Arabidopsis thaliana: one gene and its partners. Changing the gene in region 2 together with the main gene of any one other region gives a genetic interaction. Each region holds a gene or a part of one and is shown on either strand. Other genes may lie near its edges. The genes, in order: PIR121, GL3 and MYB23.

What was found.
Region 1: changes in GL3 (region 2) and PIR121 impair growth when combined (synthetic growth defect), as found in Arabidopsis thaliana (one study listed by BioGRID).
Region 3: of GL3 (region 2) and MYB23, changing one suppresses a phenotype caused by changing the other (phenotypic suppression), as found in Arabidopsis thaliana (one study listed by BioGRID).

The regions. Positions count from the first base shown.
Region 1 is NC_003076.8:6,101,127-6,107,807, forward strand, and holds the start of PIR121 (transcription activator), read right to left. Parts: upstream 3,855-6,681; 5' UTR 3,740-3,854; intron 3,666-3,739; 5' UTR 3,658-3,665; coding exon 3,604-3,657; intron 3,291-3,603; coding exon 3,218-3,290; intron 3,135-3,217; coding exon 3,070-3,134; intron 2,930-3,069; coding exon 2,852-2,929; intron 2,515-2,851; coding exon 2,395-2,514; intron 2,309-2,394; coding exon 2,238-2,308; intron 2,143-2,237; coding exon 2,050-2,142; intron 1,866-2,049; coding exon 1,796-1,865; intron 1,707-1,795; coding exon 1,642-1,706; intron 1,497-1,641; coding exon 1,301-1,496; intron 1,192-1,300; coding exon 1,040-1,191; intron 936-1,039; coding exon 842-935; intron 753-841; coding exon 543-752; intron 473-542; coding exon 261-472; intron 159-260; coding exon 14-158; intron 1-13. Other genes in the region: AT5G18420 (CCR4-NOT transcription complex subunit), read right to left, coding at 4,512-4,612, 4,779-4,863, 5,074-5,215, 5,301-5,374, 5,450-5,521, 5,933-6,070, 6,148-6,298, 6,475-6,620. UniProt on the Arabidopsis thaliana protein: Involved in regulation of actin and microtubule organization. Part of a WAVE complex that activates the ARP2/3 complex. Interacts with the active form of RHO-family GTPases.
Region 2 is NC_003076.8:16,526,137-16,534,692, reverse strand, and holds GL3 (basic helix-loop-helix (bHLH) DNA-binding superfamily protein), read right to left. Parts: upstream 5,604-8,556; 5' UTR 5,396-5,603; coding exon of another isoform or gene 5,394-5,395; 5' UTR 5,261-5,393; coding exon 5,115-5,260; intron 4,774-5,114; coding exon 4,492-4,773; intron 3,913-4,491; coding exon 3,816-3,912; intron 3,719-3,815; coding exon 3,647-3,718; intron 3,327-3,646; coding exon 2,493-3,326; intron 2,409-2,492; coding exon 1,974-2,408; intron 1,899-1,973; coding exon 1,827-1,898; 3' UTR 1,406-1,826; downstream 1-1,405. Other genes in the region: AT5G41320 (stress response NST1-like protein), read right to left, coding at 1-251. UniProt on the Arabidopsis thaliana protein: Transcription activator, when associated with MYB75/PAP1, MYB90/PAP2 or TT2. Involved in epidermal cell fate specification.
Region 3 is NC_003076.8:16,125,248-16,131,145, forward strand, and holds MYB23 (myb domain protein 23), read left to right. Parts: upstream 1-2,477; 5' UTR 2,478-2,601; coding exon 2,602-2,734; intron 2,735-2,863; coding exon 2,864-2,993; intron 2,994-3,824; coding exon 3,825-4,221; 3' UTR 4,222-4,414; downstream 4,415-5,898. UniProt on the Arabidopsis thaliana protein: Transcription activator, when associated with BHLH2/EGL3/MYC146 or BHLH12/MYC1. Regulates the epidermal cell fate specification. Mediates the formation of columellae and accumulation of mucilages on seed coats.

The DNA of each region.
Region 1 (6,681 bases), about 10 Mb from region 2:
AATGGACCCAAACCTGTGCTGCTGTTGGGGCAACAGGCCTCGGATAAAAGAAATTCCCTCTGCTTTCATCATTTCCATGTTGTGAAGATGGCATCTCATGTTCGGGCCTGGTATTTGCCATCCAGTCAGCTGAAAGTGTCCGCATATCAGAAAGAATCCTGAAATGCAACCATACATATGATAAGTTAACAATATGCAAAGCTTAAGTTTAAGAGAACATGGACTTGAAACAGAAAGAAAATAAAGGAAAACCAATTCACCTTGAGAGATCTTTCTTCTTTCGGAAGGTGGTACGCAACATTGTGGCTAACGTGTTCTGTACAAAATCTTGAACTTCGGCATGTATTGTCTCCCATAAAGCATCTGCAACTAATGTGTCACAGCGCTGCAGCATCGATCCTACACTCTTTATATAGCCAACAAGTTCTACCAAGGCTTTCCTTTCTTCTGCAGTATAATTGAACCTCACCACCTATTTAAAAGAATCCAAAACTTGTTACCATAAAAGATAAAACTTTTCGAAAATATTTCACAAGTATTACCTTCTCGTAATCAGAATATGATCCGGAGGCTTCAGGAGTCTCTCCTGCATCCCTACATGGGCGAGAGAATTTCCAAGCACATTGCTCCCAAATGCGTGCTGTCCATCTACTTAACAGTTGGAAACCTTCAACAACCATATCGTACATGTTTCCTTTGACCTCTCTGCACCATTCAGTATATGCTCCATCGTTTGACTTCAACAGCAATAACTGCATGAAAGCAAGTGAGAACAACATCCTAGAGACTCAAAATAAGAACAAGAAAATTGGAGCTCCAGGGATAGAGATAGCTTGAGCACCTGATTCATGGATGAAGCAAATCGGATTGTGAAATCGTCATGCTCAGCACGGAGAGCTCCAATGTGATTGACTATCAAATAGTGCCTCTGATATGTAAAATATGTTAAGGCTTGCAATTTTCAAAGCATGTGTACGGTTAACAATAATCCAGATAATAGTTAAAATAGGCAAGTAACAGTGAAAATATTAAAGGATATTCTAGCGCTTCACGTGGAGGGAGCTCATGAGGTGCTGGAAGAGTCAGAAGGCGAGTCTGTGATGAAAACTTTTGAAAGTATACCGACAATTCTTTCAAAATTGCAGCAGGAGAAAGATGGAGATCTGGAAACGCAGGAATGACAGGATCATTCTGATAGCCGAAAAACACACAACAAATATGACAATTAGCGACTTGGAAACAAGGCTTTGCGGTATATTGGTTGTGAATGCGAAAACAGGTATAACATGAATCTCAATACCTTGAAAATGTTTATCAATCTGTTGAGTTTTACCCTCTTGTATAAAGCCTCGGTATCTTTCTCAGATGGTGTTGCTAAGACAACAAGAACAGGTAGAACCCGGAGAAGAATATACCGCTCAGGAAAAAGTAGTGCAAAATCCAACTCCAGAGACTCCACGATGAAGACTATGAGAACTTGGAGAATATCTTCCACACTGAATTTACTAAGGAATCCAAAAGCTTGCAATATAGTCAAATGGCACAAGGGACTTGAGCAGCATGCATATCTCAGATAGACAAACCCATAATAATGTCTTTAACAGCCACACGATGGTGATAAATGTCTGGAAGAAAGGATACTTGTTTACACGGAACATCTCAACGTGCAGGTTGAGTAAAATAGCCCATCTTGTGCTCAGGAAGATCTGCATACATAAGAACTCACATTTTCATTTACGACAAACCACAGGGGAAGGCATTATCAAATGATTGCATAAACAAGCCATGCAAACACCTGCAAGTCGTCTAACTCTTCTCTCATTGTATCTGTATCTTGCCACTGCGCACTGACTTGAGTGAATGTTCTGAAAAGAGTGAAACTATCTTAAGAACATAAACTAAAAAAAAAAGCTTCTAGGAAACTAATTCAACTCTTAAATAGAGCTTTAGTAGCTGAAAGGATTAGTAACAAACATCGATCTACCTACATTCAAGTGTCCTATTTGCAGAAAATATAGATAGGAAAGATAAAAGTATTATATCTTTCACCTCTTATACCAAGAGAAATCATTAGGAATGCTAGCTTTAGCATTTTTAAGATGATCCAGCTGAACCAAGACGTCAAGCAACTTTAGCATTGACCTATATTAAGTAAAATCACAGTTAAACTATATACACGAGGAAAGTTAATCATCCAAGGATCTAATACAAAACACAAAATAAGAGTTATAACCCACCAAAGATGTGTGACTGTGGGACCATTGATCCGCCGTTCAGGTCTGGAAAACCGCTGCATGTCAGCAGCTAACTGCACAGACAGAGAATATACGCACATTATTTCTGATACAGGAATTTATATAAAACGAGTTGGACGAGGAAGGATATACACCGCACTTTAGCTGAAGCCGACGATTGCCATCTTTGAATTTCGCGTAAACGGCTCATTTCTAAGTCCAAAACTTGATATGTTTCTAGATACAAATCCGCTTGACTATGCTTCATAGATTCGGGAAGCTGCATGTATATCATTAATAAAGAAAGTTATGTGTGTTATGGAAGAAATATACACAACAACACCCAGCAAGAAGTACTGTATTTGATATTATTTTCAGTAATTTCTATCATTCGCTATTATTTATACAGAGAACTTTGTTGTTGCTTTTATTTTTGCATTATAACTGCATTATACTTTGTAGTTCAAAAAAGAGTCTCGTACAGTTGCTACGAGATTTCGAATACCATGAAGAACTAACGCATAGCATAATTCTCAAAGCTACATTTTATCAGATAAAATGTCTAAAGGTAGATATGCAATGGAGACAAGGAGTGTAGTGATAGATTTCACAAGGACCTGAGGCAGTGCTTTGACACAACTTCTATATGTGTATAGAATTGACGCCATCTCTTTTCCTTCTTGTATAAGTGTATTCTGCATATATACAATTGGTTGAAAACTTACTTGAAGTATTCAAATATAACACGATTAACACAACATAACCGTAAAAATATCAAATCGTAATTTAATCAGTCTTTCTAAGATGAGGCAAATGAAGAAGAATAGCCATATACCAGCTGGTTAAGAGCTTTTGTGTCTTCTGATAGAGACAACCGGTATGCAGCGACGTCACTATATTCTACAGAATAGTAATAAAAAAAAAAACATCTTGATTATTTGGATTTTATGGTAAAAGAGTGACAAGAGAACAATGAAGCATACCGATGGGACTATCGGTTGCTGCTCTTTCAGCTGAAACCATCACAGCCGGTCCTTGGACTTCTGGTTGCTCATCCTATAACCAAAATTCAAAATGCTTCAAGAAAATGTACTAGAGTGACTTCAAATTTTTCAAGAAGCTACTTAAATCTTCAACATTTCGTTGAAACTTATTTTACTGCTAACTTAGGCAAAGATCCACAGGTGATTAAACAATATATGTGATAATTTTACACGAAAAGGATTTAACAAGAAATAGAAACAATAATTTCATATCCTTTCTAGAAGAAAATTTTGAAATATGAACTCCGGAAAGAAAATTTGTAGTCAAAAGGATCCAAAGACCCACAATTTCTAAATTTTACCAAAATCTAGAATATCGAAGTTACCTCTAAGGAGAATGTGGAAAGAGCTGCGATTGCTTCCTCTACAGGAACCGCCATTGAGTCACCTGGAAAGATCAGACGAAGCAATTAGCAACATTGGGCGACTAAAGGATAAAGCTTTCAACTTTAAGGCTCTTACCCAACAACAATGGAGAGGAGAGGAGAGCTGCTACTACTTCAAGTCAATTGATTCGCCTTTCTTCTGATTCTTTACGGACAGAGATCGATAAATTCGCTACTACTCTGTCCGAACCAAATATTTCGCAAAGTTGGAAGCTTTCTTTTTCTATTTGTTTTTCTGTAACAAAAAAAAAATGTTTCTTTTTGGGTCCTCGTTTGTATTTTCACCTTTCAGAATTTTTCTTTAGTACATATTTGTTCAATCCGATTAAAGCTTTGAGAAGAAGCATTACATTTGTGTCTTTACTATGAAGCAAACTTGATGACAGCTAAATCATTATTTACTGATTCCTTTATCCTCAACCATTTCTTATTTTGGGAAAATACATAAGAGTAATACCAGTAACAAAACAAAATAGATATAAATACAATTTTACAGTGAACAACTACTGAACATAAAATAAGTTACTTTGTAGAATCAGTAACAACTTTTAAGGTTTAACCGGAGCCTTAAACCAATCCGGATAAGAACCAGCAGGTGTTGGTGCTATCGGTGTGAGCATGTAAACCGTTCACGGTTAAGTGTTAGTAGCCTAATGGAAAGGACATGCCGTCTAAGTCTAACCAGAAATTTTTGTTGTAAAAACATATGAATTGAGAATGAAACTCTAGAAAAAGCGAAAACTGTCTTGGATTCAAAATAAAGTACTTTCTTTAGCTACAAAAATAGGGAATACAATAAAATGGAGACGAAGATGATTAGAAGAAGAAGAAGAAGAAGAAAGAGTAAATTATTCATCCAATTGTTTCAAAAGCCTGAAGAGACCAGCTGCTTCTCGAACCCGAGAAAACTCAATGCAGAAAGCTTGAACTTCTATGAATAGATCCTTCACTGTTACATTTTTTACCCAAAAAAAACATATATCACCCACAATTGTACATCATACTAATAGACTATAAAAGCTTCCTCTGTGAATGTATCTAGTGATCTTTCTGTGTTATTAGCAAAGCAAAACGCCTAATTTGATAGCAATCAGTCAGAAACAGAGAATGCATACCGTTGATGATCTTGTTACGAATTAAGCTTTGCAAGAAGACGCAAACAAGCCGTACAAGCCTATTCTGCATGTATTTGTCTTGCTGCTACAGATCGAAAACAATATATCACTATACCGTTAACAAAACAACTACATTGAAATCAACAAATCCGAGAATCATATACACAAAGCACATAATGCAAAGCACAAGCAGAAGTTTTTTCACACAAGATTATAGGATGGCGTTATGGATACTCATAGAAAGCTTTGTTTTAAGTACCTAACGGGAAATCAAAAGGACGCTTTGTTTTAATACCTTAGCGTTCTCACAAGACGATATGCAATTAGTGATGTACATCCGTATGAAGTCCTTGGGAAGTTCAACTGCAGTTGTGAGCCTATTCACAACTTCCATTGAGTGCAGGCTCATGTCCATATTTCCTAGAGCTTCATAATAGCTGAAGAAGCATTCTTAGATTCCCACTTTAAAAGTTATAATTTTGGTCGAAAGTAAATGGTGGAACCAATAAGGTGATGACTTACTCATTAATCTCTGTGGAGTTATTCAACTTGGTGAGAATTTCAACTGCTATCTGAGGATTGTGCTCTACTAATTGCTGAGAATAAGAAACTAGATCACATGAAAAAAAGAAAAAAGAAAAAAACCACCTGCCAGAAAATGAATCACATACCGGCAGCTTCCGTGGAGTTATTCCGCAGTGAAAGACAAGCTTTGGGTCATTTGCCAATTCTGTAATGATGTCCTGGCCAGTAAATAAATAAAACAAGTTATTTCAATCACTCAAAAGATCCAGGTTTTCTAAATTCATCAGCTATACGGGCAAGGCTGATGAAATAAAACATCACAATCACTATTTATCTATTGCACGGTTATTTTCCATAAACTCTTACTGCAGTCAATTCCTTCTTAATATCCTAGATCTTTAAATCCAATGAGAAAGGAAATACTAGAGTGATAGCACGAGCACGACTTCTCTCTCAAAACTACTGCCATACAATGGCTGCCTTTACAACCTTTAAAATTTGTGCATATGTAGTTACTGTCCCATTGCTATGTTAACTTGCTTATAAGTGTTAGAGTAAGATAGGTAATAAAATGGTCAATACTTGTATGATTTTATGCGCATATCAAGAATTAACGAGCGATAACATACCTCTTGCTCCGTAGGTGAAAGTGTCACCTTTAAACCCTTAACAAGCAAGTCTCTAACTGTTGCACCACTGCTAGTATCAGCACACATTTTATCGTCCCAAACAAGCTCATGCTTGTTATCAGGGTCAATCCAAAGCAACTGTAAGAAGTTGAACCATTTAGGTCAGTTCGATAATTTTCTGAACCAGTTGAATAAGGGGTTATTCTTATTTTTACCTCGCTCTGATGAACTGGGTACCTTGGTGGACATGGACGGATCCACCTAGGACCTAATCCCCCCATTGTCAAATTTCCTAAGAATCCAGATAGTGCCTCATCCCTATCACCAGATCCAATTCTGGGATTCACTCCAGCTTGCACATCAAACCTATAAGATTATTTGACTCAATGATCATTCATACAATCAACTTCAAATTGGCACATTAATTATAACACAGAACATTAAGCTTGGAGGAAAACTGGAAGCTTGAAAGAAATAGATCAGATTCAACTGTATATAACAGTTAGAAAGAAACAGAATCCCCTGACTCATAGGTTACGTACTCTGGAGAGTTAGGATCACACCCACGAGGAACATCAGGATCATGCAATAGCTTTTTCAGGGAATAGTCTGCAAAAATGTGACTAGATGGTCCAGGATCGGCTTTGTCGCCATACTCTCGTTGCAGCTCTCCTAGTTCCGGAAAATCCTGACAGAGCATCCCCATATTAGATCAATAACTGGAAAAGGTTTCTCTAAATGTTCTCTAG
Region 2 (8,556 bases):
CTTTTCCTTACTTGCTTAACTTTCTCAGGCTTAGTCTCATCTTTCTTGCTCCTCCTCTTCCGGGTTTTCACAGGTTGTTCTCTAGTCACAGTTTTTGTTCCATTATCAATCTGATTCGACTCAAGATTTGGGTTATGAATGATAGGATGCTGGGTCGAGTTTGAATCTGGATCATCGCTTGAAGAATCTTCAAAGTCGTTCTCTTTCCTTCTGAAATCCCATTTCTCACTGAATCTTGGCTCATCTCCCATTCTTAAAGATTCAGTCTAATTTCACTCTGTTCTTACAGATTGCACCTTTCTTTCAAAGATTTTTCATACAGCTGCAAGAATAAAAAAACACAACATGGATAACTATAAACAACACAAGTCTGTTGTAGATCGAAATGGATTACGGATCAGCACATCATCAACTTTGTAAAAAGATGGGAGTGTTCTTCTAAACAATGGAATATTAGGCGAGGAGATAACAAATATAAACCAATATTAATTGGAAAACTGTTTAAAGCATATCCATAAATACAAGATTAAGGATTCATCTCTGTAACACAGGTAAATAGAGAATGCATCTAGTAAAACCCGAGTAGTATTGCGATTATCTCGACTTAATTCAAAAGAGAAACTATTGTAAACTACATTTTCGAGAACTAAGAAGTACACACATAGTTAAGAAAAATATCCGAGATATATATAAAAACATGTAAATGCAAGTTCTTACCGGAGAGAAGAATTTTCAGGCCATCTTCACCATTCTCGATCTCTCCCTTGAGTCTTGTCTGATCGCACACTTTGTGTGTAAAATCGACATGTATCTTTGAATTTATGTTTTCGGTTTTGCTGTTAAAAAGGAAAGGAGTTATGTTTTTGTCTGAAAAAATATTTTCCATATGAGGTATATTTTATTCAAAGAAAAATATTTTTAGTCATTAATTTTGGTTCTACCTTCTAAATAACAATATTTTAGCTTTCCAATTTGGATCTTTTTCTTGATAATCAAGTTTACCCATTTTTCTATATTTTATATTTTTACACAAATTAGAAAGTAAATTAGAATTCACCTTAGAATTTAAAGGAATAAGATTCATGTTTTTATACTATTGTTTAAGATTTTTTTGTCAACACAAAGATTTTAAATGATAAGATAAGAGTACTCTGGTTTTCCATTAATATATGAAGATTATTTTCAGTTTGGGTTTGAAATATCCTTGATATTAAACGAAAAGAATAACATGAGTTGGTAAGTAAAACATAATAAGACATGACTAGATAGGTAAAATTACATAAAGCAAATTAGAAAGTAATTTGGTCAACACCTCTAAATTTGTAAAAATAAGATATTACAGCATTTATTTTTGTTGATTTTCACTATGTTATTTCAATGAAATCATTTATGACCCAGTTAAGGAAATTAATCTGGATTTCTTATCATAAACTTTACCTCTTTGTTATCCATGAAAATGCCAAAATGCAGAATCTTCTCCCGTTTCGTGTGAAGCTTTTTGACCACTAATTTTCATTTACACATTAATGTTTTTTTCCCCGTAATTTCACATCAACCTTGTGCTTAAACAACAAAAGAACACAAAATCATCTAAACTGGCTATTACTATTACTAATACCCTTAAAATAATCTACCTCAAACAAAATACGCATAGTGTATGTTCCTCTTCACCTACGTTAAGCAACGGAAAAAAAGACACAAAAAAAAAACAAAAAACAAATGATAAACATAACATTAATTCCTAAAACCCGGTTAGAAGAAAACCAAAGAATAGAAACCAAACCGGGAATGTTTTTTCTTTGCTGTCAATTTTAACTAAGTAGTCTTCAACAGATCCATGCAACCCTTTGAAGTGCTTCTTTGATCATTCCTGGTGTCGCTATTTTTGACCCCTTGTGCTGAAACCAACACATTTCATGTCAATCTAGGTTAACCAAATCCTGGTTAAGCCAAAAGTAGGTTAGAGAGTATACCTTGCAATTGACGGTTAAGCAGAGCAAACCGTCTCCGGTCGAGGATTGAACCGAATGAGAATCCAAATGGAGATCACTAATCACATCCATTATCTCAAGCAATACTCCTTCTCTCCAAGCACATCTAAGCTCAATAACCACCTCATTACCAAACGAACCGATCCTTAAATTATCGGTTAAACCAGTAAAACCGGTATCTGCTGGCTCGGCTTCACCAACATTGTTAACCGACACCTTCTTCCCATTTCCTGTTTCATTATTTGCGCAATTAGCTGATGTTCTTTCTCCTGCGTCGCATGGTTTCTTCCTCTTCATCGTCATCGTCCCACGAGTCTCTGTATCGGTTGATTCTCTGCAAGATTCTAGTTCTTGAACCCGTCTCTCGAGTTCTTGAAGATACTCTATCGTATCGTCAAGAATCGATACTTTATCGATCTATCGAAAATGTTAAACATAAGATTAGTTACCTCGCGATATATATGGATTTGAAATTTTGAAGAATCGATTATATAAATATACCTTGTTGATTGACGGAATGATTTTTCTCAAGGTCATGAACCGTTCGTTCAATTTCTCGCGGCGCTTCTTCTCTAAAACCGCATGGTTCCCAGTTTCATCTCTGGCTTCTGGTGAGTCCAACATTAACTTCTCTTTCTGGTGCACTCGCGGAACATCGAAAATAATTTTCTTTAACATTCCTTGTGATGGTGCCGTGACCGTGGCGGTTCCTGATGATGATGACGATGATTTCTTCCACCTAGTGAAGCTTGACTGTTTATCGCAGTTTCGAAACTGCGGTCCGAGAATTAACTGATGGTTGGTCTTAAAAATCGTTGAGATCACACTTTGGTAATGAACGTCGTCGTTTCTTGGATCAAATGACAATGTCTTCACATTTCTCTGTTGCTCTTGAATTTGCCCTAGTCTTTGAACTCTACTCTTTCTTGCACCGTAAGCAACCCGTCCAGCCGCCCCTTCAACAAACGTTTGAGAGACGCAATCGCTGGAATTTAGCGACTGGTGAACGCAGTTACTAAGCTCGTCGTCCATGAGCTGCCAGCTTTGCACCTGAGAAGCTCCTCCAGTGATTCTTTCGGTCATGAAAGAATCATGATCATCTGCTACTTGTTCATGTTCTTGATCGAAACCGTTGGTAGTTCTGCTCGGAGAAGCTGTTGGAAAAGGCTCCGTACTGAACATAGGCGCGTAAATCTCGTCGCCTAGAATCTGTTGCGGATCAAGAACGTTGTCGATGTGATAATCGGATCTTGCTGGTAATATTGTAGCGTACGGATCAGGGGCTTCGAGGAATGATGTCTTCACGCATTGTATTACATTCATGTCTTCCGTAATCTACGAGACGAAACACACCAAGAAAAAGCCTTGAAAAAGTTTTCAATTATAACTATACCAACGAGCTAGTAAAAAGTACAAAAGCCGTATTTTCGCGTTTTGTCATAACCAAACCGTGGAAATCTTTAAAAATCGAGACTACTAAAATATTAGTTTGTGTGTTCTTGGTGTCTATACCGTTATTCGACAGATTGAAGGGTCAAATTGAAATGTTAGAATACATTGTGGTAATTTTATAATTATTCTTTTTTTCTTAATAAAGGATTTTCATAATAATTATTCTAAAACATTGGAAGCAGAAAACACAAATATTGGCTTACATGTTCTGTGGTACCAATCTCAACGACTCCTCCAAGGAACGGGAAGCAAACCACTGTCTTAACCGCAGCACTCTAAACCACCACAAAACGCAAACAAAAACGAACGATTTTAGTGTTTTCAAATCGCAAAAAAGTGTTACATAGCAACTACATCAATACTACAACTTACTTTTGCTAGAAGAGAACGGCTAAACACTTTACTATCCGCCGTATGAGCGTTGCACAACCATATCGGTTCACCGTTTGCAAACGTCCGTCCAGGCATTCTGCAAAAAGACAGGTTCATTTAGAAAGCAGCAATGCATTCTAAGCTTAATTTTTCCACATTTTTTCTTCCTAACATATTCATAATTATTGAAAGTTAATTAGCCGTGTTCATAAAGACCAAAATGAAACGAATTTTTTAATTAATCCGGACAGAAACAAACTTTTGTGATGATAAATAAACCGAACTAAACTCGAATCGAACACAAATATACTGCAACCAAACCGAATTAATAAAATTTATTAGATGTAGAATAGAGTTAAACATACTAATGCATATATATACACATTATTATTTAAAATTAATTATGTTTTAACTTTTTCTTTTGTAATCTGAAACCGACCAAATCCGGACATTAAATTTTGAAACCAAACTGAAACTAAAAAATTGGTTCTAGCTCATACTTTTTTCCTGCAGAACCCTGAAATCTAACAAACCTAAACTGAACCATAAAAGTCGAAATCCTTGGACCTACTAGTATTAAAAGTATATTTTGGCACGTTGTTTAAAACTGGCAAAGATCAACACGATCATGACACATAATAAATGTCAATGCTGATAGAGGAAAAGACGGAATTACCCTTCACCAATGTTGAAGACGAAAGACATACAAACCAAATAGTACCACTCGGTGTCGGCGAGATCTTCCGGTGAAAGTGCGGCGGCGGAAGCTCGTCTGGTGACTTGAGATCCGGCAGCAACGCCTGAAGAAGAAGATTCAGCGACGGAGAGAGACTCGTAAAGCTCGCTAAGCTGCTCGCTCCTCCGTAGACCAAGCTGATCAGCTTTGATCTCCGAAGCTTGAATCGTCTTCCTCGTTTTGATATCTCCATTATAGTATCCATCTCCCCATTCTAAAACTCTTTTTATATATAGAAAAACAAAAACAAATATCAAATCGAATAAAGAAAACAAACAAAACATTTTCTTGAACTAATCAAGAACTTCAAGAAGAAGAGAAAAAAAATTGAACTTTTAAAGAAGATCAAGAAACCTTATATGAGTTTATAAGAAAAAATCAATGGAATCAAGAAAAACCTAGAGAACCTTGTCTTGAGTTGTAGAACTAAACACTAGTTTTGATTTGAAGTGAACACATAAGTTTTATCTAATTTTCCAATTAAAATCAAGAAATTTACTTCATCAATATCTTTCAAAATCTCCAATATCTAGTGTTCAATGAATATGATTTAAGAAACTTACCCAGACTGAGAAGCAGAGACAGACCAAAAGATACCATAACTCCATTGAATGTTTCGAACTGAAACTGCGAGGTGTTTCTTCAGATTCTCTGGCACAGTTGTTCTGTTTTGTCCGGTAGCCATTGTTTCTTCATCCCTATATCCCATGAAACCACACACAGGGAAAAAGAAAAGAAAAGAAAAAAATCAAACTTTTTGTCCTGATTTAGAAAGAAATAAGATACTATGTTAAATTTATAGCCTAAAAAAGAAAGAAAAAGGGAAACTTGTAACTCTTTACATTTTTTTTGAAGTATCAGAGAGGATACAAACTAGATGTTAAGGTTTTTGTGTTTGTCATTTGATGAAACAGTTGCCGTTTTCGCCGGAACAAACAGAGAAATGTTTGAGAGTTTTTTTTTTCTTTGGTCACTCCATACTTTTTTTTTATTAATGTTGTTTTGAATATTAATTTTGTTGTTGTTTGAGCTTGAACTCGAAAGACTAGAAGAACTGTCTACGAATCCTTTTTTTCTTTGAATATGACGATATCATCTTTGTTGTGTACAGAACAAAACACAAGACATTTATGACGAAAATAAAAAGTACTTATAATTTTTTAATGATTTATGAGAAAAAAAAAGGATACAAAAGTAGAGGAAAAAAGCAAAACGCTGATGTTGATTGATTGTTCCTCTTTTTATCTTGAAGTTGATTGATTAGTTCCTCATTTGGGAAGAACAACCTTTTTTTAAGACAATGAACTACAATGTCCATTGTTGTGGTCTTGTCTTCAATAAATTCTCTATTCAGTCTCTTTGTGGTTCTAGAGATCTCTTTTTTTTGGGAATATTGAATCATTGTGTGTCTCTTCCAACACTGATTTTAAAGTTAAAATGTTATCACGTCAAGGCTGAACTTTTCACCCATCTATTCTTGAAAAAAAATGTTTCCCTCACTTAATATCCCCACTGATACCAAAAAAAAAAAATTTGTTTCCTTGACTATTAGATCTTTGAAGCAATGTTGACTAGAATACCATTAGCATGTGATCCAAGTCCAATCTAACCAGCATCGTATGATTTCTTTCATTTTGTATAATCTAATCAGTCTTATTACTATTTGAGTGATCGAAATATATTATTGTCGGTGAGTAACATCGTTTTATGAATTTTCCAAAAGTACACAAAACGACCAAAAGTATAATGTCTCAAATCAGAGTATATGATTAACATATATAATAATAGTAAAATCATCAGCTTTTTACTTGGTGTCAAAACGAAGCTAATCGCTATGAATCTAAATTATAGTCACAAACACAATAATAGATAAATTGAGGAGGAAAGAGATAATATAAGAACAGTCTTTACTAAAATTGGGAAACACAAAGAAAGACACGAAATTAATGTTTGGCCTCGAGGAGTTCCCCCAATACGTACAGACACAATCTTAATTTTTGCAATCACATCTTTAAAATGAATAAAAATGTTATGGACATTTTCGACGTTGATTCTCCCTATAGTCATATACTTACAATATTATTATATTTCAAAATTCTCTTATACTATTAAACCTATATTTTCGAAGTATTTATGCAACTATTTAAAATATAACTTTAAATAAAACCCTGCTAAATGGACCATTAGTACTTATTATTTTCCTTTTCTGACATCTAGAAAAGAGAGAGACGTTGACGTCAGAAAACATTAAAATATATATACACGTTCGGTCCCCTACAAGATCAAAGTCTAAACATTCGTAGTGCTGTTGATCGGAGGTTTCGGTAAATTAATCGGATGTGTTGATGTTTGAGGGTAATATTTAGGAAATTTGGTATAGCTTTCGATACAACAATATAAAATTTGTCTGATCCAAACTTATGTAACACTAATATATATTGTTATTTTCAATCAGAATACTAACTCAAGTTAAATGGGGAATTCAACTCCTAATCCGATGAAGCCTTGCTGGTTTGGATCAAGACGTCATCTTCACTTCAACAACTCCATCTCCTGACTCCTATCTTTCGCTATGGTTTGCTAATTTCCAACAAAATTAGACCACATCTTTACTGATCTTACTAGAACACTCGTCTCTATATGTTTATCTTATTTGATTGTATCTGAGCATTAAGGCTCCTCTGTAAGACCTCTTTCATATATATAAACGGAACTAATTAAAAAAAGAAGTAATATATATATATATATAGGGTATATACTATGTTGTTATTTTCTTGACATAGACGGCACAGAAGAAATAATGTTGTAAACACGGCCATTAAAATCATAAACTTTTGGGCATGTACGAGAAGATGTGAGAGATTCAATGCTATGTATAGGACAATGGAAGCATGACACTATTTTGCTATTAACTGGTTTGTATCCTCTCTTCTATGTTAAAAAACTGTATGTTTTCCCATATACTAAATGACATATGGATATAGCTGAGAAAATAATATTTTAATTTGGATATACTATATTGGTTTAACAATGAAACATAAGTGGTTCCACTTTCCACCTCATAAGGCATATTATCATCATCTTATATGTATCTCAATTCTCAAGGTTCAGAAAAAGGTAAGATAGTTCATCTAAGTCAATGGAAGTCAAACTATGTAAATAATGGGCTTTTGATTTGCTTCTTGTTTATGATTTGATTCAAAGATCATGGTGGATCTTAGGAGGTAGAGAATCACATGAATTTGGATGGGAATTCAAAAAATTATACTTAATTTGGCTTAATGAAACAATTAATAAAGAAGAGACCAAGAGTCAATATTGTCACTGGCGACGTTAATTAAGCCATCAACTATATAATTTTGTCATTTCCCAAAATTGTCGTTATTACTTGTTGCGTCTCCATGAGAATCATAATGAACATTAGACCTCGTTTATTTAATTATATCATTAAGCCCGTATCCTCTTTTGTTTTATCCTGCTTTTTATAGCATTATTTTACTTAGACTCTACTAATATTAAAGTAAAATTTAGCTACCTATTTGTATCTACCATTGTGAAGTTATTTAAATACTACACTATAAATTTGTACAATCTTCGTTTAAGTTTCCTCAATCTCTATATTTTTCTTTTCTCTTAGCAATCAATAAAATAATATTTTTAAAAACAAAATATTTTATAAATTAATATTCGATAAATTAATAATTACTATAAATATTTATAGTCTTAAATTAGATTAGTGTACAAAATTGATGCAATTAATTCGATAAAACATTAATATATTATTTTAGTTTAGTTATATATAGACATATAATTCCATTATTTTGATAAATTAATACTTATATAAATTTATCATATATATATATATATATATATTACATACAAGAAAATTTAGTGGAATATGATATATATATATATATATATATATATATTTATTTCATTTTTTGAATCTGCATTGATTTTTGTTAGAGTTTGTTCCTAATATTTTTACTGCATCGAAAAGTTTTG
Region 3 (5,898 bases), 400 kb from region 2:
TACAATGTTAGTCTAAAATGCACACAATAATCTTGGTAGGACTCTCATACCATAAGGCCCTTTAACTACCATGCACTCCACTGGTGATTTCACGTTTCTTTTCGGTTTAGTTTATTGGTTTTAGAATATTAGTATAGTTTGTTGTTCAAACGGGAAAAAAAAAGAATATTGGTATAGTTTATTATTTGGATCCACACAAGACTAAAATACAACAAAAATGGGTACATTTAAATTCTTTTTCACAAGATGTTTATAATGATTTATGGGAGATTTATAACAAACCTTATAAATTATTGATGGAAAATCTAAATGTGAATAGCTCTATACAGAAATTTAAAATAATAAATGAATGCAATGAGATGAAATGTAAGAAGCAAAAACAGTTTAATTACACAATTTAATGGTTAATTTCTATTTTTTTTTTCTTTTTCTAATAATATATAACTAAAGTATCATTTGACAAATGCATTTAAGAAAGGAAATTATATTTTAGTAAATAACAAAATAAAGATTATAAAAGGGTATAGTTGTTCTTGGATATATACTTTAAGATTATGCCTATTTTGGAGAAATTTCTCTCATGAAATATTTTAGGAAGATCCTTTATGATTATATAATATCATATTTATGATACCATTTCTTAATATAGTAATTTATGTTTATTGAAAATTTTATCCCATGCAATGTCAAAACCTAGTAGAGAATTAAGATTGCTTAGCTTATTTTTTAGTCTATAGGACTTTACGAATACAATGTATGAAATACGAATGTTAGTGTAGTTAATTAATAGATTAGATGATCAACATCAACTAGTTGGGTTGATCTGAAAGTAAGTTTTGGAATTAAAAGGATCTATAGGTCCTATATCATTAATTATCCATAAAACTAATAAAAGTAGGCTAAATCAAGTGGAAGCTATAATCTATAGACGTACATAATTCATATGCCCGACATAATATATTTAGTGTAGTGATTATCATATTACATTACTGTCTAGAGTTTGGTATCACGGATACTTATGTTTTTGTATCAAAGATGTTTAATTCTATAGTTTAGTTATAACTTATAACTGATAACATTGTTTGGAGAATAGTAACTATTCTTAAAGCAAATTTTACATGTTAAACTCTTTTGTTTTTGTTTTTTTTTGTCAAAGTTGTGTATTCCTATTTCCTGAACAAAACTATTATATACAGACTATATTCGTATATTATATTTTTTGTTGTCAAAGTTGTATTTTCCTGTTTCATACTATATATATCGACTTCAACTCCCTCCATTGGGATCCGATCCAAAAAATAATACTCATATGAACATATACACACATGACATATTGACATATCTTAGCTGGATGAGCCAGAGGATCTTCTATGTTTGGTATTAATATAAAAAGTAAAAACTGCCTACTGTCTATCCCAAGGGAATATTATTGTGTCCAATAGTAATTACCTTCCTTTTTTTCAATTTTCACTTCTACTTAACTTGTTAGTTGGGATACACATGTCTACCTAGACATATCTTGTTACAGTTTTTACATACTTTATTAGATATGGATAAATTTGGTTATAAATAAATCCCAGATTTTTCTTTCAAAACATATTTACTATCAATACATTTTTAAAATGAAAAACAAAATGTGAGGCTTGAGTATAACATATGTAAAACAGGTGTAAAAAAGTAAGGAAACAGATATAGATATATAGTGTTACAAAAAAATATAATACAAATTTAATTTAATTTATAACTTTTGGTAAATTATAACGAGCAAGAAATTTGAAACTCGGAATATGAAGTAAATTATTTCGTTAGATCAATAAAATATTTTTCTAACGGGTGTTAACACACACCACAATTTTACGTGGACGTTTTTGCTCTTAAATCTCAACTAAATTTTAGATTTTTAATTTTTAGGCAAAGCGTTTCCAAATCTTTCTTATAAGAAAATATACAATAGAAGAAACATAGTACACCGTTTTCAACTAATAGTTGAGGAATATTGAGTTTATTCGGATCACATATTTTTAGTATTGTTCAACCAAAACCAACAAGATAGAGAGTCAACAAGCCCTTCCAGTTCTTTATATAGTTTCCCTACTAAATCCATCTATTAATCAATTTGAGAACAAACTCTTCAAATCCTCTATCTCCTTTTTTGATAAAAACATATTTTTACTTTGCCACAACTAACTAATACTATACTTTATTTTATTTGATGAATTCTCTCATATATTAGTAAGAAGAACATGTTGTCTATATCTACACCCGTTTAAATGGTTAAATCAATTTCGTTAGGTTGACTTATTGGTAAAAGAATGTAGGGATTGACTTTACCATATACGGACTTTTTGGAGAGACAACAGCAAACAAAACAAACATGTCCTTACGTATATATATATACGCACATATACATGTAAACAAAACAATATATACGTCACACGAATCATATATATATATAGAGTCAGGCTCGACTAATCATCACCGACTCAGCCACTTTCTCTCTCTCTCTCTCTCTCTCTCTCTCTCTCTCTCTCTCTCTCTCTCTCTCTCTCTCTCTCTCTCTCTCTCTCTCTCTCTCCTCGGGATCAAGAAAAGTGAAGAAGAATGAGAATGACAAGAGATGGAAAAGAACATGAATACAAGAAAGGTTTATGGACAGTGGAAGAAGACAAGATCCTCATGGATTATGTCCGAACTCATGGCCAGGGCCACTGGAACCGCATCGCCAAGAAAACTGGTATTTATACTCTCTCTTTCTATTATAGTACTCTCTTATTTCTTCTGGTATACTTGCTCTTACTTCTCTCTTTCTTGTCCTAAGAAATAAAAATTAGTACTAAAGATTGAAACTTTTGATGATAATTAGGGCTCAAGAGATGTGGGAAAAGCTGTAGGTTGAGATGGATGAACTACTTAAGCCCTAATGTTAACAGAGGCAATTTTACTGACCAAGAAGAAGATCTCATCATCAGACTCCACAAGCTCCTCGGCAACAGGTTCTTTTTTTTCTCCATATATTCAAAGATATATATTTGCTTAATTTTCTTTTATACAATTCTAATAGTATTATATATGTTAGATCATGTGTTTTGTTGTTCGGTGCTGCATTCACGTGAATCTTTAAATTGTTTATATGTGTACAGCTTGCTAGCTATATATCACATATATCTAATCCATAATTTATATATTTATAATATATGTTTTGTTGTTCGATCCTTAGTTCACGGTAATCTCTAAATTGTTTATTATTATTTATTTATTTTTGGTTGAAACATCTCTAAATTGTTTAGTTGTGATATAGATTACTTATATTTAACTGATATATTATATTCATTTATTCATAAAATAAGTGTATTTTATTAAGCTACTATTTACAAACGTCCACAAAGCAAATAATGGTTATTCAAAAATAGTAGTAAGAAACGGATCGTAAATTTGAATCAAAAATCTTAGATCTGTCCTTTGTTTTTTCGGCCATTAATTTGTATAGCTAGGTTTCTATTCAAAAAATATGCTTTCTCGAACCTAACAATGATTCATAATTGTACTCATTTATGGATCATCTGTATATATATACACATGTCTCATATAAACATCTACAACATACATAATCTGGCTACATGTATTACGCACATGCTCTATATAGGTCCATGCATAAGCATTAACTCCGTTTTACAAGATTTCTTGTTTCAAAAGTTTGCCACATATTTATAGCACATTCGAAAATCCATATAGTGTATAATACAATATTTATTTATTATAATTGAAGATTAAGAGACCACAAATAAAAATATTAATCTAACATCGTAAATTCTTTTAATATTTAGATGGTCGTTGATAGCGAAAAGAGTTCCGGGAAGAACAGACAACCAAGTAAAGAATTACTGGAACACACATCTCAGCAAGAAACTTGGTCTCGGAGATCATTCAACTGCCGTCAAAGCCGCATGCGGTGTAGAGTCTCCACCGTCTATGGCCCTTATAACCACAACGTCCTCCTCTCATCAAGAGATCTCCGGTGGAAAAAATTCAACTCTAAGGTTCGACACTTTAGTTGACGAATCCAAACTCAAACCAAAATCCAAACTAGTCCACGCAACACCAACTGACGTAGAAGTTGCAGCTACGGTTCCAAATCTGTTCGATACCTTTTGGGTTCTTGAAGACGACTTCGAGCTTAGTTCACTCACTATGATGGATTTTACTAATGGGTATTGCCTTTGAATATCTTTGATGATTAGCTTCTAAAAAGTAATTAATTATCGAATAATAGATTATAATGAACAATAATAATAATATGAATACAATTAAATTTTTTTCCGAATATTTGCTTGTAGCTTTTGTACTTTCTTTTGTAAAAGTAAGGATGATCAGTTGATAAAAAAATCTTATACTAGAAAGTTATTTGGTTATGTCCCTAATGTAACCAACTTAAATATCCTATTAGTTTACAAGTTAAGTGTTTATACTTCTACTTCATTCGTACATTGGCGTTCACATAAGATTTTCCGTATTTTGTACAGAAAAGAACAACTTAATCAAATTAAAGTGATAACTAGTGCATTTTCAGCTGTGAAAACTAACTCTTGGTTTCTATATCTAATTCTGGATTCTCCAAAAAAAAGGTCAATCCTAACTTTTAGTGTAGTGGAAAATACAGACTACCAATATCTAATTTATACTGTATCATTTAGTTTGGCATCTTTCTAATAATGATTTATACTCGAACATTTATAAATAAATGGTATAGTTTTAATATGTGAGAAAATCTAAAATGATAAAAGGAGAGTAAAATATAATCTTCGCTTGCATAAGGTCGGAAATTTTTTCATTTTAAGTCAACAAATATGGTCAACCGAGATAATCCAGCTGTTACAAGCCTTGATTCTACGTATCACCCGCTTGTAAGATTTTTATAAAATGAATGAGGTCTTGTCAGGTTAGGCTCTTTGTGTCTCTTAATTATACATTAATTACATTGACTAATGTTAGAGTTCTGAAATCAATGACGATTAATCTATCATACATATTCATACTTTAGATAAGACCAGACCTCGTACGTTGGAATTTGAAAGTTAGTTGAAGAAGCCAAGACTGTTAGAGATTATTTTTTCTGGTTGACTTAAATAAATTGTTCCAACAAAAAAGTAAACCAAATCATTAAAACGTATTTATGTCTTAAAATTAAAACCAATCACGTTAACGTGACTTGGTAGATTTCGTGACAGCAATGGATATCTTGAATTCTCATCTTTTATTTATGAATTGAGGAGCAATATAATCATCTCACATTTATTTTGTAAGAATTTATCATTTTATGTCATTTATTTACTAAATAATTTTATATTTTATTCATATTTAGGCATTTTAATTGTTTCATAATTTTATTATTATCATAGATGTGATAAACTAAAAAATAGTAGATATATTGTCCCGTTATTTTTTCTTATGTATGTATTTTACTGCACATAAATTAATCTTCTGAATTTTTTATTTTTTATTTTTTTTTAATTTTGGTAAAAGGTGAAATTTTATACCATTTTTGTTTTTGACAGAATTACAAGGAAAAGTAGAAGCAGAACAAAACAATTTACAGAAAATTAAAGAACAACATTACAACTCTAATTGCAAAGGATCGCCGATGAGTGATCAAGGCCAAGTTAGGAGGAGAAACACCGATTCCGAGTCCGCGAAGCTCGGAAATTTGCGTTGTTGCCGCAGTACCGAAGTATTGGAATCCTCATCCTAGTTGCCACGAGCATGATTATTCAAGGTCCGTCCACAAAACCTCAAAGATAGAAGTCTACAGCTTCTCCGAGAACTAACGCAAAAACGAACAAGCAAACATGAACAAGCAAACATGATTAAGCCTAATGTTCTGAATTTGATAATTGAATTTGA